Linked DNA regions of Macaca mulatta. The main gene of each other region encodes a partner of the protein of the gene in region 3 in a complex. Links are inferred from orthologs where the notes say so. Each region holds a gene or a part of one and is shown on either strand. Other genes may lie near its edges.

Region 1 (6,294 bases), on a different chromosome or scaffold from region 3:
CCTCAGAGGAAATTGTGTTTTGGCTTCGTTCCACTATTTACTAGCCTTGTAGTCCAGGGTTGCACCGTACAGTAGCAGCGTGGCAGAGGATCTGAATTCCGTAAACATTCTGTTCTTTAAACCACTCGTTGGTGGCTGACTCCACCCTGAGAGTGTAGGTGTGTGTGTAGGTGGGTGGGTAGGTAGGGGTGGTGGAAGTTGGTGGTACCCTATGCTAATTTATAAAATGGCACTCTGACCTGGCGCGGTGGCTCATGCCTGCAATCCCAGCACTTTGGGAGGCCGAGGTGGGCGAATCACCCGAGGTCAGGAGTTCGAGACCAGCCTGGCTAACATGGTGAAACCTCATTTCTACTAAAAATACAAAAAATTATCTGGGCATGGTGGCGCATACCTGTGTAGTCCCAGCTACTTGGAAGGCTGAGGCAGGACAATCGCTTGAACCCAGGAGGCGGAGGCTACAGTGAGCCGAGATCACATCATTACACTCCAGCTTGGGCAACAAGAGGAAACTCTGTCTCAAAAAAAAAAAAAAAAAAAAAAAAAAAAAGGCCGGGCACGGTGCCTCACGCCTGTAATCCCAGCACTTTGGGAGGCCGAGGTGGGTGGATCATGAGGTCAGGAGATCGAGACCACCTTGGCTAACACGGTGAAACCCCATCTCTACTAAAAATACAAAAAATAGTCGGGCACGGTAGCGGGGACCTGTAGTCCCAGCTATTCGGGAGGCTCAGGCAGGAAAATGGCGGGAACCCGGGAGGCGGAGCTTGTAGCGAGCCAAGATCCGGCCACTGCACTCCAGCCTGGGCGACAGAGTGAGACTCCGCCTCAAAAAAAAAAAAAAAAAAAAAAAAAAAGGCACTCTTTAACAGAACCCCAGTGGAAGAGGGGAGAGGATGTGTCTTTTAGCCAAGTCAGTTTCTTGGAGCCTGTTTCTCCTTATTTGTAAAGCTAAGTTACTTATGTTTGACTAGCCTGACTCAGGAGGTTGTCCAGAGGATCAGATTAGATTACACACATGAAAGTGCCTCATGAACAATGTGATATCAATATTTAATAATAAAAATGATAATTATTATCGCACCCATGGCCTCATTTCTTTCCAGCCACTTGGCATGCCCCCGTAGTTCAGGGACAAAATTGTACAGATGGGCCTGCTTGGTTCAACTTTTTTCGTGTGTTTTTGAGACAGGGTCTCACTCTGTCGCCCAGGCTTGGCTAACTGCAACCCCTGCCTCCGGGGTTCAAGCGACTCTCCTGCCTCAGCCTTCCAAGTAGCTGGGTTTACAAGTGCCCACCACCATGCCTGGCTAATTTTGTATTTTTAGTAGAGATGGAGTTTCACCATGTTGGCCAGGCTGGTCTCGACCTTCCGACCTTGGGAGATCCGCCCGCCTCAGCCTCCCAAAGTGCTGGGATTACAGGCGCGAGCCATTGCGCCGGCCTACTTAGAGCAATTTTTGTAAAGTATTTTGAATCCGTGCATGAAAATGACTAAGGAAAAAGGTGCAACCTTCTCTCTATGACACCCAGGTCCTAAACTCAAGATTTGTGGTTAGTTCTGGGCAGGCTGGTGGCTCACACCTGTCATCTCCACACTTTGGGAGCCCGAGGCAGGCGGATCACCTGAGGTCAGGAGTTCAAGACCAGCCTGGCCAACATAGCGAAACGCTCTCTGTATTAAAAATGCAAATATTAGCCGGCTGCGGTGGTGGGAGCCTGTAATCCCAGCTACTTGGGAGGCTGAAGCACGAGAAATTGCTTGACCCCGGGAGGCAAAGGTTGCAGTGAGCCGGGATGCCGCACCTGCACTCCAGCCTGGGCAACAGAGCGAGACTGTCTAAAAAAAAAAAAAAAAAAAAAAAAAAAAAAAAAAAAAATTGTGCAGTTGGTTCTGTTCTGTTTGGCACCCAGCCTGGTGCTGTGTTGTATTGTACTTTGTTGCCAATCTAGCGGAAGGATTTTGGTCTAGGTAGGTCACCTTTACTTTAAACAGGCCAAGGTATCAGGCCCCCTTTACGTTCACACGGAAAAGACTCGCGTCATATGTTAGTAATTATTTATCAGGTTAGGAACTGTCTGGTTAGACTTTCTTTGGCCCTGGTCATTAATTCATGGAGTCATAGACCGAAAGCCCATTCCGTAAGGGTTTCAGCTAACATGAGTCCAAGTCTTCTTTCTACATACGAGGAAACGGAATCCCTGGAGTTTAAGTGACTTGAGCTGTGCATGAACCGCGGTACTGGGCGTGGAATCCATTCTTGTGAGTCATCCTCTTAACTCTTCGTAAAATATGTTGCAAAGACACCATAAAACCATAGAATACCACCTGGAGCATGCTCCTTCAGTTAAAAAGAAAGCAAAAATCTTACAGGAGACAGCAAAGAGTTTGGGATGCCCGTGGATGAACACCATTTCATCTCTGCTATCTTCTCCGCCCCCACCTGCCTCGCCTGCTCCCACTTCCTGGACTACCTGACCTAGCTCCGCCTCCTCCAGGTGGCCCCACCGCTTCCTGGTAGCCCAGCCCCTCCCCCGCCTCCCGCCAAGCGGAACCAATGTCTGTCCGCTCTGGGGTCGGCCGGATCTTTCTCGCTCAGACTCTTCGCAGCGGTGACTCGGCAGCAGCGTCTCGCGTCATCAGTGACAGCCCTGACCCTTGCTACGCTTTGCGTCGCTCTGCCAGAAGCAGTCGCCTCCTCCTTGGCAAATAGTCCTCGGCAGGGTCCGAGTTCTTGGTTAATCCGAGAGGAGAGGCACGAGAAGTTGCAGTGCAGGGACACGGAAGCGACTAGACGAGGAGGCCAGGGATCGAAGTTTCCTCAATAGTGTGTGAAGTTAGTTAAAAACTCTCTTCTTCCTTAGGATCCCTCCGCCTGCAGTAGCAGTGGTGAGGCCGAGGGAGCCGCCATTTTGGATGTTCGGTTCCTGCTGCCACTGCTGCCGCCGCCCCCGGAGCTGCTGGTTTCATTCGAGGTTTCGGGCCGGTGAGTGTCACTGGCGGCACTTAGAGCATATTGCTGCTTTTGCCCCGCCGCTGGCGCGGGCGCTCGACCGGAAGCTTCCTTTCAGTTTCAGGGGTCCGGTCCCAGGCTGTGGGTGTTGAGAAGAGAGGACAGAGAGGCTGGGCCAGGAGGGGCCGGGAGCCCCAGGGGCTGCTCCGACTTCTGGAGGGCCGACCCCGAGGCCTCGGACCGGGAGGTTCCGCGCGCAGCGGTGTTCCGGGTAGTGGCGTTGCCCCGCGGGTACGGGCCTCCTTGAACCTTTGACTTTCTCAGGCTGCGATCTTTGAGGGCTCATTCAGGGAGCCTGGGGTTTAGCGCGGCTGGCCCCACCCCCGCGTGTCTTCTCTGAGCCACGTACCAGCGTTCTTGTGTCTTGTACCCGTGTCAGGTCTCTCAGATAACTCTCAGCATTTCCAAATGCCCAGTTAATCGCTGCCTGCCCCTGCAGTGCCGTCCTGTCGGAACCAGACATCGGCCTCGCCTCTCTCTAACCTTCCAACCAACTTCTTTCCCAATTTTCCGCGCGCGCGTGTGTGTGTGTGTGTTTGTTGTTGTTTTGTTTTTTTCAGCCTACCTGCGAGTGTACTGTTTACCCTTTTCTCAGCTCCTGGGCCTGCGGACGTCAGCGTCTAATAATTCTCCCGGGCTTCCTGATTGCCTGAAAGAGTCGGGACGATTCAGTTGATTGTTTCCCGGTTAGGAGACTTGGTGTAGGAGATCCATCGAAACACTCGCTCAGAGTGTGCTTCAGCAGTAATGTTTATGAGGCAGATTAAATGGCTTTTGGGAGGCGGGAGCTGTCAAATGTTTTCTCATTTGTGGATTCCCTTCCTGTGCTGAACACTTAGCTTTTTGGTACTCACTGACACTTGTGTGGTGTTTTTTTTTTTTTTTATCCTCCCCTATTACATATCCCTGAGCATGGAAATCTGTCCATGGAGAAAAATATTAATCTGAGGTAGGTAGAAAGGAGAGTTGGGCTGCTTTATTCGTTAACCGAGGAGAGGAGTTAGTGCTTTCTTAGTGACCTTAACTTTGAGGTGTTTGTACAGTAATGATCTTTGCTGACTGATTGTAAAAAATACTTGTAATGACTTCATGTATTGGGTTTTTCTGGGGATAGTTGAATTTTAAATATTCACTTCCACCCTTCCCTAGAATACTTGTCAAATACCTAAGTTGTCATACAGCCTAACTTTCAAGTTTGAAAAATATGAACCCTCTAAGTACTAGTAATCTAGTCACTTTTATTCTAAAAGCATGTTTGCAGTCTAGCATGCTTGAATGAAAAGTATTTCTTTGTTTTAATTTTTATTATTATTATTATTTTTTGAGACGGAGTCTGGCTCTGTCTCCAGGCTGGAGTGCAGTGGCACGGTCTCGGCTCACTGCAACCTTCGACTCACTGCAACCTACGCCTCCTGGATTCAAGCAATTCTCCTGCCTCAACCTCCCAAGTAGCTGGGACTACAGGTGCACGCTGCCACGCCCGGCTAATTTTTTTTTGTTGTTGTATTTTAGTAGAGATGGGTTTCACCATGTTGCCCAGGCTGATCTCGAACTCCTGAGCTCAGGCAATCCGCCCACCTTGGCTTCCCAAAGTGCTAGGATTACAGGCGTGAGCCACGGTGCCTGGCGAATAAAAAGTATTTCACAGTAATTCACTGATACATTTCCTACGTTTCAAGTTAGGCGAGTGTGATTGAATCACCCTTATTTCATCTCAGCCTGGGTTTTTACATCTGCAAAAGAGAAGTTAACTTATTTGAGATCACAGTCTAGTGGATGAAATTTAAATTTATAACTTGAACTGAGTCAAGCTTTTTAATACTGCTAAGCCACATATATAGATGCATTATTCTTATCAGGTTATTGAAATGAGATTGTAGATAAATTCCTGTATAGGTCATATGATGTCTCAGGAGAAAACAGTATTTTCAGTGTAAATACTCAGTGATCTTGTTGCTTGTTTTAAGGAGATTTTTCAAAAACATGTTAGTTACTATTAGATATGTGAGTTCTGTATCACCCTGAAGCTATGTAATTTTCTCTTTTGGTTTAAAGGAACTGTCAAACACTGAACACCTATGTAATGATCGCTCATTTACTAAGTATGCCCTTGCAGTTACTACTGAAATGTGCCATTTCTGACTTAGACTTTTCAAGTAAGGTGTTAGCAGAGCTATCACATAGATGTTAGTTAACTCAGTGTTTTTCATGCTTTAATATGTTGGTATTTAAATGTCATTCAGGCGGGTGCTCTGTGGCTCATGTTTGTAATCCCAACACTTTGGGAAGTGGAAGGTGGATCCCTTGAGCCCAGGAGTTAGAGGCCAGCCTGGGCAACATAGTGAGACTCTGTCTCTACCAAAATATTTTAAAATATTAAACTTTTAAAAATTCATTCTTAGATAGTTTGCATTCACTGGGGGAAGGGTCCTTTTGCCTTAACAAATTCCTAGCAAAGTGTTGTTTAGTGCACCATTGATCAGTGCATATTTGAATATCTGCTTTGTGTTTAGGAAACCTCCGTTTCTTTTGGGAGCAGTTGCTTATTCTTTGGTCTGACCTCTGTCATTGTTAGCAGTTCTAGATTTGAGGGCAGATTTTAGAGTGAAACTATAAAGTACAGAAATTGCCAGGAATGCCTTGGTGATATTTCACCCCAGTGTTTATTTTAAAAAGGAGTTTTAAAAATCAGTGGTATGCAAACCAAAACCAACTTCTTTATGATTTATAAAAACTCTTATTTCTTATTATTTTTATTGTTTGAACAGGGTCTCACTCTGTTGCCCAGGCTGGAGTGCAGTGGTCTCTGCTCACTGCAGCCTGGACCTCCTGGGCTCAAGCAATCCTCCTGCCTCAGCTCTCCACATAGCTGGGACTACAGGCGTGTTCCACCACGCAGGGCTAATTTTTGTATTTTTTGTATTGATAGTATTTTGTCATGTTGCGCAGGCTGGGCTCAAGCAATCCTCTTGCCTTGGCCTCCCAAACAAAGTGCTGGGATTACAGGTGTGAGCCACCTCACCTGGCCAAAACTCTTTAATTTATACAAATTTAAAAAATTGAATGAGTATTTTCCAAGAGATTATTTTTAATTTAAAAAGTTGAATTGGCAACCTACATACCAAAACACATTTTCCACAATGCTTAATCCCCTTATTTGCATTTGACGAGGATTTTAAAATTTTGTGTATATAGCAGGACTTAATTGCTATCAAAACTTTAAAACTCTTACTTAGAGCTTCAGAAAATTAAAAAATACTATTTTAAGTGCTTGTAATTT
Region 2 (6,336 bases), on a different chromosome or scaffold from region 3:
AATGATCTATCATTAACTTTTCTGCATGACAAAATTTAAGATTTTCCCTTATCCTTCTATCCAGACCTCTTTGCTTTATCACTTGTGCTAGGGAAGCAGGGGCCTCAGAGAGCCAGTCTAAAACCATTTTAAGTTCAGCTCCATCTTGAAACTAACAAGGCACATTCCTTGTCAGTCACAACCCATACCTGTTTACAGTTGGGTAAACAGTTTAAAGATACCTGCAAGGACAGACTCCTCCAACTACAGAAAATCCAGATGTCCCAATACCCATAACAATATATGCTTTTAAGATAATTATAGTTCTGGCTGGGGATGGAGGCTAAGGCAGGAGGATTGCTTGAGGCCAGGAGTTCGAGACCAGCCTGGCCAACATAGCAAAACCCCCTCTCTACTAAAAATACAAAAATTAGCTGGACATGGTAGCACATGCCTATAATCCCAGTAGTGAGACCCCATCTCTACAACAAAATATTTTTGTAATTAACTGGATGCACTGGTTCATGCCTGCAGTCACAGCTACTTGGGAGGCTGAAATGGAAGGATGTAACTGTAATCCAGCTACTAGGGAGGCTGAGACACAAGAATGGCTTGAACCCAGGAGGTGGAGGTTGCAGCGAGCTGAGATCACACCACTGCACTCCAGCCTGCGCGACAGATCAAGACTCTGTCTCAAAAAAAAAAAAAAAAAAGGAAGAAAGATAATTATAGTTTTGCTTTGATGTACTTACCTACTAGAATGTCAAGGATAGTTAAATCAACAGAATAATAAATTTTGTCATGCCATTGGCCCATCTGCACATTGACTCAGCTTAGTTTAGTCTGTACAAAAACAAGACCCCTATATAAGAAAAACTTGGCGGGCCGCGGTGGCTCACGCCTATAATCCCAGTACTTTGGGAGGCCGAGGTGGGCGGATCACGAGGTCAGGAGACTGAGACCATCCTGGCTAACAGGGTGAAACCCCGTCTCTACTAAAAATACAAAGAAATTAGCCAGGTGTGGTGGCGGGCACCTGTAGTCCCAGCTACTCAGGAGGCTGAGGCAGGAGAATGGCTAAACCCGGGAGGCGGAGCTTGCAGTGAGCTGAGATCGCGCCACTGCACTCCAGCCTGGGCGACAGAGCAAGACTCTGTTTCAAAAAAAAGAAAAACTTAAAGGTCAGGGGCGGTGGCTCATGCCCATAATTCCAACACTTTGGGAAGCCGAGGAGGTTGGATAGCCTGAGCCCAGGAGTTCCAGACCAGCTTGGGTAGCATGACAAAACCCTGTCTCTACAAAACATACAAAAATTAGCTGGGTGTTGGGGGGGCACGCCTGTAGTCCCAGCTACTTGGGAGACTGAGGTGGGAGGATCGCTGGAGCCCAGGAGGTGGAAGCTGTAGTGAACTATAATCATGCTACTACACTCCAGACTGGGCAACAGAGTAAGACCCTGTCTCAAAAAAAGAAAAAAGAAAAAAGAAAGAAAAGGAAAAATTAAGACAGTGTGTTCCTCTGTTTGCTTTCTGAGGACGCCCTACTCCGTAAGGGGACAGCTTTCAATAAACTCTCTCTTCTCATAGCACTCTGCGGCTTGCTTTGAATTTCTTCTGCATGAGATACAAGAATCCTCTCTTGGGGTCTGGATCAGGACCCCTTTTTCCAGTAACACGTAGACACACACACACATTCAGTTTAAAAGCCCATATTACAATGTACATCCACCTCATCTTCACACTGAGATTTGGGTTACATCTGTCCCTTTTTGAGTTTTGACCCAAGTTAACCTTTTAAGACGCTCTTTATTTCTTCCCCTTTTGCCTCAATTCACTTTCCTCCTCCTTCTCCTTACATGCCTTTTATAGCAGCCTCTCCTTTTCTCTTTTATTCATTTTCTACACATTTCTCTTACTTTAAGATCAGAAGTCAGGCGCGGTGGCTCACACCTGTAATCCCAGCACTTTGAGAAACCAAGGCGGGAGGGTCTCTTGAACCCAGGAGTTCGAGACCAGCTTGGGCAACATAGTAAGACCCCTGTCTCTACAAAAAAAAAATTTAAAAATTAGCTGGGCATGATGGTGTGCGTCTGTAGTCCCAGCTACTCAGGAGGCTGAGGCGGGAGGCTCGCTTGAGGCCAGGAGTTCAAGGCCGCAGAGAATCACGATCTCACCACTGCACTCCAGCCTGGGTGACGCGACCAGACCCTGTCTCTAAAAAGAAAAAAAATAGAGGGGTGTATCTATCACGCTCTCAATAGATATTTAGCTTGAGTTCTATACTTTTTTCATGACCGTTTGTCTCCTGTTTTTCAGGTCCTTCCTCCTCCCCTACACTCAATTCCCACCCTGCTCCCTCTTCACAGCTCACGCCCCTTCCAGGGGTCCTGCCTGCTGCCTCGAACTCCAATGATCGTCCCATTCACCTCTCACCCCTTTTCCCGCCTTTTTGCCCCACAAGGCTTCAAAGCGCGAGGATCTCATTGTCCTCCTCCCCCATCCTCCAACCAGCCCACAGGACAGCCGCGTTACCATGACGACCGGGCTCCTAGAAGCTGCAGTCAAGGACCTGGTTGCCATGGTTTCCGCTTCTCCGCCTCCAGCCCCGCCCGCGCTCCCCGCGGCGTCGGCGCCTGCGCAGTGTGTGGCGTGTCGGGAGTCAGAACCTGGGCGGGACGGGGCGGGGCTTCGGCCGAGAGGGAGGGAAGCCGGAGAAAGGATAAGAAAGGGAGTGGGACTGGCGCCTACGGTGGCCGAAGTGGGACGCGCCGAGCCGGAGGCTGCAGGATGGTAGGCTGTGCGAAGAGGGAGGGGAGGGGGAAGCGAGGGGCGTGGGCTGCACCTGCGGGGGTCCTCGGGGGCCGCCCTCGGGGTGAGCCTCTCTGTCTTCCCTCTGGTCCTCAGAGGCCTCCCTTGCCTCAGCTGGTGGGCGAGCCGGGCTCGGGAGGAAGAGTGGGAGGTGGCATTCGGGAGAGGGGCGGGGAGGGGGTGCATTTGCAGGGCGAGCGTGGGCTGACGAAGGGGCGGCGGGGCAGTCCCGAGCCGGGAGGGGCGCTTGGGTCTTGGCTCCCGGGGGTCCCTCGATCCCCGCCGCAGGGAAGCAGCCTAAAGCAGAGGGTTGTGGGGGTCTCTTTGCAGAGGGAGGGAGTGGGGGGTCACCGAGAACCCCTTCCCGGGCGGCACGGGCGGGAGCGGGGACCCCGGTGGGGAAAGGGGTGTGGGAGGGGAGTTTCCGGGTCGGAAAAGAGAGCGCCCTATTGGGTTCGTGGCGGTGCTTGCCTAGAGGCTGGGCCCAGGTAAGGAAGAGAGGTGGACTCGTGGTTTTGCTCCGAGGGACCCAGGCTTTGGGATCCCGGGCTCCAGGGCTCTCTGCCCCCAATCCCACTCTGTTTCCGGAACCCAGGCCTTCCGTCTTCCTGCTCGCTCCCCACCCCCCTATCTGAGCGCCGCACGAGGCTCCCCGGCGCCCCTCTTTTCCCCTCCACCAAAAAAATCAGTTCTCCTGAATTCTGATTTTTCACCTACTAAGCTATACAGTGCCACACACCCAGGGATTCCAACCCTGGGCATGTCCATGAATAGGAGAGCTGCTGGGGGAAGGAGAAGACTCCAGGATGTGGCCCAGACCCCCTGGAACTGGGAAGCTGGGGTGCACTGGGCAGTGAGGGTTCTGTCTTCCATCCCACTTGACCCAGCTTGCTGTCTGTTCTGCAGACATTCTTCAGGGGAACCCCCTGGGTGGCGGGGCCCTGAGGGAGATTGGTCACCTGGTGTCTGGGGAGGAGTGGGCGCTTAGCAGGAGGCACCCTAAAAGGGAGAAAAGTTAAAGAGAAATGTCAAAGACATCTGGGTACCCGCAGAGAGGAAGGTGGGATTTGGGCATCTCCATACCCTGTGTGGTGTTGGAAATACATACTGCAGAGGAGGATACCCCTGGCACTGGAGGGTGGTGTGTTTGGGATATCATTAAGATCTTATGGTTATGATGGGGTGGAAAATTGAGGTAGCTTCTCCAGGGACAAAATACCAGATTTCAGCACGGTGGTGGATAGAGAGAGGGTGGAAGAGAACAGGCATTTCTTTGGCATTGGTTACTGGTTTCTTGTCGCTCTGCTAGGCATTTTACTTACCTTTAGAAAGCAGAACCAGTAAGCAAGAGGTCAGGGAATCATGGTAATAATAATAGTAACTAACAACCGGGTGCAGTGGCTCACACCTGTAATGCCAGCACTTTGGGAGGCCGAGGTGGACGGATCACCTGAGGTCGGGAGTTCGAGACCAGGGCCTGGCCAACGTGGTGAAACCCCGTCTCTACTAAAAATACAAAAATTAGCTGGGTGTGGTGGCACATGACTGTAATCCCAGCTACTCAGGAGGCTGAGGCAGGAGAATCACTGGAACTCAGAAGGCGGAGATTGCACTGAGCAGTGATCGCACCACTGCACTCCAGCCTGGGTGACAGAGAGAGACGACAGAGAGAGACTTTGTCTCAAAAAAAATAATAATAGCTAACATGTTATACTGCCTGCCTGTGCTAGGGACTTGCATATATTAACTCATTTAGTCTCAACAACTGTGCAAGGCAGGTACGATGTCCATTTTACAGATAAGGAAACTGAGGCCCAGAGACTTACAGTAGTAATTGGCCCAAGGCCCTGCATAACTAGTAGAGCCAGGATTTGAACCCAAATGATGGACTCAGAAGCTCTGACTTCCCCCTGCTGGTGGAAATACCCAGCATTGAGAGCAAGGGGCTGGATGTTGGAAGAAAGTAGAGAAGAATTAGCCGGGATGAGTTTGGGGAATATGTGTTTACCCTTGGTTCTGCCCTCCCATCCCCCGCAGATGCGATTCATGCTGCTATTCAGCCGGCAGGGAAAACTGCGGCTGCAAAAATGGTACCTGGCCACTTCGGACAAGGAACGGAAGAAGATGGTGCGGGAGCTTATGCAGGTTGTCCTGGCTCGCAAGCCCAAGATGTGCAGCTTCCTGGAGTGGAGGGACCTCAAAGTTGTCTATAAGAGGTGACTCCCCACCTACTTTCAGACCTGCCTAGATTCGAGTTGGGCAGTGGGTTAAAATGGCTGAGAAATGGTCATCCTTTAGGTCAGGGAGACCTGGGAGCTGAGGACCTCTGGAGGACAGTGATGAATGTCAGCTTCCTTTTTTTTCCCCCCCAAACTCTTAAATAAGTTCTTGTTTACCACTTGGTTTTGCTCACGCGCAACACCTGCCTCACTCACGTTTCCCTTTGGGCCCTATCTTGCCCCACCGCACATGTCCCTTGCAGTCGGTCCTGCCCTACTTTTCCTAACACACACGCGCACACACCCTTTCCAGTTCCTTCTCTTCGGAGCAGGTAAATTACTTGGCTCAGGTTTTTGCTGAGTCAGACTTAGGAGGTCAGAGGGCAGGAAGGAAAAAGTGTGCATTCTTTGAGTGTTTTAAAGACAGCACAAAGAGGCAAATGAGTTACTCTTTACATGCCCTGGGGCCACCCCACCTGTGGCCAGCCAGGGCACAGACCACCCCCAGGCTGGTGGGAGGTTTGAGCCCAGAATGCCTGGGTCCTGAAGCAAGCTTGTAGCATGTCTCATGCATTCCTCTCCGCAGATATGCCAGCCTCTACTTCTGCTGCGCCATCGAGGGCCAAGACAATGAGCTCATCACACTGGAGCTGATCCACCGATACGTGGAGCTCTTAGACAAATACTTTGGCAGTGTAAGTCTCCTCTGCCCACCAGTTTCCATTCCCAGCAATCCCCTTTGGTAATCTACCAAACTTTGAGGCACCTCCAGTCTCTGCTCTGGAAGTCTCAGGGGAGAGGTGAAGTTGGAGCAGTAAGAACAGTAATTAATTTCCCTTTTTAAGCTTTAAGCCTATTAACCATGTCCCATAATCGTCCCTGAGTGGGGAGAGTGGGGGCAGGATCAGGCAGTTAATCTCCACTTAGAGCTTAGCTCGGACTTTTCACACAGAGACCAAGTTCAGATTTTTTGTTTAGTTTAAATTTTTATTTTTTTAGAAACAGAGCCTCACCCCGTCACCTGGAGGAATGCCTCCTATGGCTGGAGTGCAGTGGCACAATCATAGCTCACTGCAGCCTTAACCTCTGGGCTCAAGCCATCCTCCTGCCTCAGTACCCTGAGGAGCTGGGACTGCAAGTGCACACCACTACGCCCAGCTAATTTTTGTATTTTTTTTTTTTTTAGAGATGGGGTCTCGCTATGTTGCCCAGGCTGGTCTCTGGGGCTCAAGTGATCCTCCCACCTCAGCCTCCCGAAGTCTGGGATTACAGGCGTGAGCCACTGTACCTGGCCCCATATTCAGATTTTTATCACTGGTTCCTGATCTTGG
Region 3 (5,574 bases):
GGCAACGTCCTGCGCAGCGAGATCGTGGGCTCCATCAAGATGCGGGTCTTCCTCTCGGGCATGCCCGAGCTGCGCTTGGGCCTCAATGACAAGGTCCTCTTCGACAACACGGGCCGTGAGTACCTGTGCCAAGGGCCCTGCCCATGAGGACGGCTTCACCGGGCACGCACATTACAGCCCAGGGCAGGGTTGGGCCAGGCGGAGGAACAAGCTAGTTTCAAGCACTTGGTTTAGCAGCATTTCACCCTGCTTGAGACAGCTGTGTAGAGTATTCATCCATCCCGGGACATAGAAGGCGCAGGGGAGTGAAATCCTCCAGTCCAGCTGGGAGGCCCCCATCACCTGGCCTCACATGCCAGGTCTTGCACCCTGCCCTGCACTGCCCAGGCCGCTGGAGCTCAGGCTGAGGCCTTGCTCGCTCCCTCCCAGGCCAGGTTCTCCCTTCACCTTGGGCCCTAGGTGTGGGCTGTGTGAAGGCCACACACGGTGATTCTCGCTCCTGCCGCTGGTCTGTAACACTTCCCACGGCAGGGGTCAGAGGGGCTCAGAGGGGCTCAGGGCCTGGGTTTGCAAACTGTGCCTCCCGCCTCTCAGCTGTCACAGGCCACTGGAAGAGGGTGCAGTGGCTAGGCATGCCCCCGTTCCTGGCCCAGTGAGGGCTTCTTGGGCATCAGCCCATGAGGGCAGCTCCCCGCCTGGGGCTGGGCAAGGCCCCACCCACATAGCCCTCAGTGAGGTGGGAAACCGAGGAAGACCCAGGACCCCGTGGATGCCGGGGCCTGAGCCCTTGGGGAGCCCCGAGCCATCCCCCAGCCGAGTCCATCGATCAATCATTCAGTGAACGTGTCCTGAGCAGGTCCTCTGGCTGGGCCCTGGGGTGGTCGCTGGAGACTCAGCATGAACCAGACCCACCAGCCCTGCCCCCCGGGACCCCAGGAGTATGAGGAGTGACGGGGCAGTTGTCTTGGGACCCAGCCCCCTTGGTGTTTGTGGCCCAGGCTGCTGTTACTGCGTGGACTGGGGGCCCTGCTCTGCTGGGGTGGGTCCCAGGGGGTAGGAGTACTGCTGAGAGAGTGACCCGGAGGGCCCAGGTCTGTTCTACCCTCACCCCTGACCCCAGGCGGCAAAAGCAAATCCGTGGAGCTGGAGGATGTGAAGTTCCACCAGTGTGTGCGGCTATCACGCTTCGAGAACGACCGCACCATCTCCTTCATCCCGCCCGACGGCGAGTTCGAGCTCATGTCCTACCGCCTCAACACCCACGTGAGTGCGCCGCCCCGGGGCTGGGCTGTTGGTGGCCGCCTCCTCCCCTTCACCTCCAGGAGGTGAAGCCCAGGCAGGCGCCGGGGCTGGCCCCACCCCATGCTCCATGAGCTGCCTGGCTCCGCAGAGATGGAGTCTGAGGACCTGGGACTCCGAGCTTTCTGAGGGGCACAGACCCCTTTGGCCACCACACCTCTTTCCTAGGCAGCCCCCTAGAGCAGGCCCTGCGCATGTTTTCTGCATTTGCACCGAGGCCTCCCTAGTAGCTCCCTGCTGCCTCGGCCTGTCTGCCCTGACCCTCCCTGACGCTGGCCATGCACTCCCCACAGGGCCCTGGGCCAACAGCTGGGCAGATGGCCCCTTGCCCTGGGCCTTGGTTTCCTCTCTGAAATGGGCCTTTGTCAAACACGGCCACGTGTGAGCACCCTCTCTGCCCTCCTCGGCAGGTCAAGCCTTTGATATGGATCGAGTCGGTGATTGAGAAGCACTCCCACAGCCGCATCGAGTACATGATCAAGGTGCGGGGGCCCGAGGCCACCCACTGAGGGCCTTCTGGTGTCTCTGGCCCGTCCTGGGGGCCTGACCGAGGGCTGGGGGTGCCGTAGGGCTGCCATCCATGCACCCTCGCTGTGGCCTCAGATGCAGGCGTGGCCTGACACTGAGGAGACAACGCCTGGGGCCTGCTCCTAGATGGTGCCACTTGTGGGGAGGGGCCTGTAACTAGGCATCCAGGACACTCCCAGAGGTATTGCCCCCAGTGGAGCACCTCTGCCCCTCAGTGACCCTGTCCAGCGCAGCCTGACCCTGGGACACAGACATTGTCCTAGGAGGGCAGGGCAGAGGGAGGGATGGGGAGCCTTGGAAGCTGAGCAGACAGGAGGACAAAGATGAAACGCCTGAAATTAGGCCTTGGGAGAGTCTCAAGGGTAGGAGTAGTGCCTGGAGAAGTGGGGCTAGGGAGGATTCCCCAGGCCAGGCTGAGGGACATGTGGCCTGGAGGGGCTGGGCTAGCTCACTTTGGCCTCCATAACCCTGGGCCACATCGGCCTGGCCTGCAGGCCAAAAGCCAGTTCAAGCGGCGGTCAACAGCCAACAACGTGGAGATCCACATTCCCGTGCCCAATGATGCCGACTCACCCAAGTTCAAGACGACGGTGGGGAGCGTCAAGTGGGTCCCCGAGAACAGCGAGATCGTGTGGTCCATCAAGTCCTTCCCGGTGAGCACTCCATCCAGACATCCACATGCCCCCTGCAAGGCAGCCTGGGTGCCGCAGGACCCCTGCACCTCGAGATGGGGTGACCGTCGCCACCGTGTCCCCCACACCTGGGACTTCTGAAAGGGTGGACGGAGAGCCAAGGACTGGAGGGAAAGCGGGAGGAGTCAAAGGCTGACTTGGCCCCTGGGCCCCTTTCTGCTTTCCTCTTGTTTGTGAACCAGCCTCTGTCTTCAACCTCAGGGCAGTGCCCTCTCCCTCTCTGTGCTGCCCCCGAGTACTGATGTGAGATGGGGCTCCTGTCCATGCAGGCCCTGGAGGAGCCCCGTCCACTCCGGCAGGTGCAGGCCCTTTCCGTGCAGGCTCAGCCTTGCCTGCCATCAAGGGGCATGGCTGCCTGTAGGCCAGAGCAGCACAGCCTCCCGAGCCCTGCACCAGCCGCCCATGTCCTGGGCCAGCTCTGCACTGGCATGACTTCCCCGGCACCGTGTTAAGGATTCTGAGGGCTTGAGTCTGGGCTTGCTGGGTGTACGCAGTGCACAGAGAGGCTAGGCCCGGGCGTGGCTCTGGAGCCAAGCTGGTTGGCACTGACCTGCTCCGCCAGGCGGGCTCAGGGCAGGCGCTACTTTCCATGTTCTCCCGTCTCTCCGGCTGCAGCCCCAGCTGAGTTAAGCTGGAAATGCTGCAATTCAAGCGCCTTGAATTTCATGATGGCACTTTCCCTCCCGGCCTCAATCTAATCACATGACATAAAATGCAGACAGTAGAGGAAGGAGAGAGAAAAGCCCATTACCCCACCACCTAATACTCCCGGCAGCCTTTCTGCGCGTCTCCTTCTCACCTTTCTTTCTGCGTATTTTGGTCTTCCTCATTATACGTAAGTAGAGCCAACTCGGCGCCTGCCCTTCCACGCGGCGCTGCGGCCGAGCGTTTTCCTTCTGGTGTTCACTGTCTTCTTGGCGGTCGGCTTTGGGAGCTGTGGAATATTCCATGGAGGGGTGGTGACCATCCCTGATTGCTGGATTATCTCTTCTTTTCCTGCAATTCCACTGTTGAAAATAGTGTTTGTCATTTAAAACACAATGGGAGAATACCTCATCAAATAAACAGCATGGTGAGCTGTAGACGGAGGAGGAAGGGACAGGGCTAAAGGCCGAGGCACAGGCCAGCGTGGACCGTGCTTGTGTAGATTTGACTTCGAAGCCATGCACGGGCACACCTCATTTTATTGTGTTTCCCAGATACTGCATTTTTATTTTTGTTTCAGTTTTTAAACAAATGGAAGGTATGTGGCAACCCTATGTTGAGCAAGTCTGTTGGCGCCATTATCCCAACAGCACGTGCTCACTTCGCGTCTCTGTGTTGTCACTCTTTAGCAATAAAGTATGTTTTAACTAAGGTATGTACATTCTCTTAGACATAATACTGTTGCACATTATTCAGACTACATTATACAGTAAGCTTTTTTGTTTTTTGAAGACAGTCTTGCTCTGTCACCCAGGCTGGAGTGCAGTGGCACAATCTCGGCTCACTGCAGCCTCCACTTCCCAGGTTCAAGCGATTCTTCTGCCTCAGCCTCCCGAGCAGCTGGGATTACAGGCATGCACCACCATGCCTGGCTAATTTTTTTTTTTTTTTTTTTTTTTTTGAGACGGAGTCTCTCTGTTGTCCAGGCTGGAGTGCAGTGGCGTGATCTCCACTCACTGCAAGCTCTGCCTCCCGGGTTCACGCCATTCTCCTGCCTCAGCCTCCCGTGTAGCTGGGACTACAGGCGTCTGCCACCACGCCCGGCTAATTTTTGTATTTTTAGTAGAGGCGGGGTTTTACCATGTTAACCAGGATGGTCTTGATCTCCTGACCTTGTGATCCGCCTGTCTCGGCCTCCCAAAGTGCTGGGATTACAGGCGTGAGCCACTGCGCCCGGCCGCCTGGCTAATTTTTGTATTTTTAGTAGACATGGGGTTTCACCATATTGGCCAGGCTGATCACGAACTCCTGACCTTGTGATCCACCTGCCTCAACCTCCCAAAGTGCTGGGATTGCAGGCGTGAGCCCCCGAGCCCGGCCAGTAAACATAACTTTTATATGCACTGGGAAACCAAAAAATGTGTGTGACTTGCCTAACTGTGCTATGTGCTTTATGGCAGTGTCCAAACTGCAATATCTCAAGGTATACCTGTCAGTGCTTTCCAAGCATATAAAACAAAATTAAATCAAAATGGAAAAAAAGGTAATTCCTAAAAATGAAAAGCAAAATTAATTCATCAGCATATCAAGTTGATGACAGCTACAGATACACATTACTTCAAGTAACACACCCTAAAGACAAAAGGAAGTGCAGGAAATAAATTTTAAGAAATACAAAGAGACGGCCGGGCGCGGTGGCTCACGCCTGTAATCCCTGCACTTTGGGAGGCCGAGGCAGGCGGATCACGAGGTCAGTAGATCGAGACCATCCTGGCTAACACGGTGAAACCCCGTCTCTACTAAAATACAAAAAATTAGCCGGGCGCGGTGGCGGGCGCCTGTAGTCCCAGCTACTCAGGAGGCTGAGGCAGGAGAATGGCGCGAACCCGGGAGGCGGAGCTTGCAGTGAGCCGAGATGGTGCCACTGCACTCCAGCCTGGGTGACAGAGTGAAGACTCCGCCTCAAAAAAAAAAAAAAAATACAGAGAGGTAGATGATTGATAGATTAGATAAATAGGTACCCTTCCCTCTTTCTTAGATTGCTGCATACTAAAAGGTTTTTTTTTGTTTGTTTTTTCTTTTTCTGAGAAGAAGTCTCGCTCTGTTGCCCAAGCTGGAGTGCAGAGGCACGATCTCGGCTTACTGCAACCTCCACCTCCCAGGTTCAAGCGATTCTCCTGCCTCAGCCTCCCAAGTATACAGGCACACGCCACCACACCCGGCTAATGTGTGTATTTTTAGTAGAAGCAGGGTTTCACTGCGTTGCTCAGGCTGGTCTCAAACTCCTGACCTCAGGTGATCTGCCTGCTTTGGCCTCCCAAAGTGCAGGGATGACAGGCGTGAGCCACCACGCCCGGCCTATTGTGAATAATGCCGCTGTGAACGTGGGTGCACACACATCTCTTCAAGA

Evidence for each region.
Region 1: the proteins of AP1M1 (region 3) and AP1G1 are in contact, whole or in part, in a cryo-EM structure (PDB 7R4H), measured with the Mus musculus proteins. The link is inferred for Macaca mulatta from reciprocal best matches to the Homo sapiens genes AP1M1 and AP1G1. Residues at the interface, in NP_031482.1 of Mus musculus: Ser289, Asn318, Asp319, Ala320, Asp321, Ser322, Trp334, Pro336, Glu337, Asn338, Ser339, Gly361, Leu362, Pro363, Ser364, Val365, Glu366, Ala367, Glu368; in NP_001288140.1 of Mus musculus: Arg24, Glu25, Gln28, Lys29, Ala32, Arg35, Ser36, Arg39, Glu40, His64, Phe65, Gln67, Leu68, Gln97, Val99.
Region 2: the proteins of AP1M1 (region 3) and AP1S1 are in contact, whole or in part, in a crystal structure (PDB 1W63), measured with the Mus musculus proteins. The link is inferred for Macaca mulatta from reciprocal best matches to the Homo sapiens genes AP1M1 and AP1S1. Residues at the interface, in NP_031482.1 of Mus musculus: Lys12, Glu31, Asn186, Asn188, Val189, Leu190, Glu232, Glu234, Asn270, His272, Arg421; in NP_031483.1 of Mus musculus: Lys26, Lys30, Arg33, Glu34, Gln37, Lys43, Glu51, Trp52, Arg53, Asp54.

The regions. Positions count from the first base shown.
Region 1 is NC_133425.1:68,066,214-68,072,507, forward strand, and holds the start of AP1G1 (AP-1 complex subunit gamma-1), read left to right. Parts: upstream 1-2,684; 5' UTR 2,685-2,987; intron 2,988-6,294. UniProt on the Homo sapiens protein: Subunit of clathrin-associated adaptor protein complex 1 that plays a role in protein sorting in the late-Golgi/trans-Golgi network (TGN) and/or endosomes.
Region 2 is NC_133408.1:48,411,784-48,418,119, forward strand, and holds the start of AP1S1 (AP-1 complex subunit sigma-1A), read left to right. Parts: upstream 1-2,726; 5' UTR 2,727-2,765; coding exon 2,766-2,768; intron 2,769-4,823; coding exon 4,824-5,002; intron 5,003-5,591; coding exon 5,592-5,700; intron 5,701-6,336. UniProt on the Homo sapiens protein: Subunit of clathrin-associated adaptor protein complex 1 that plays a role in protein sorting in the late-Golgi/trans-Golgi network (TGN) and/or endosomes.
Region 3 is NC_133424.1:16,702,458-16,708,031, forward strand, and holds part of AP1M1 (AP-1 complex subunit mu-1), read left to right. Parts: coding exon 1-115; intron 116-1,120; coding exon 1,121-1,263; intron 1,264-1,709; coding exon 1,710-1,781; intron 1,782-2,321; coding exon 2,322-2,480; coding exon of another isoform or gene 2,481-2,574; intron 2,575-5,574. UniProt on the Homo sapiens protein: Subunit of clathrin-associated adaptor protein complex 1 that plays a role in protein sorting in the trans-Golgi network (TGN) and endosomes.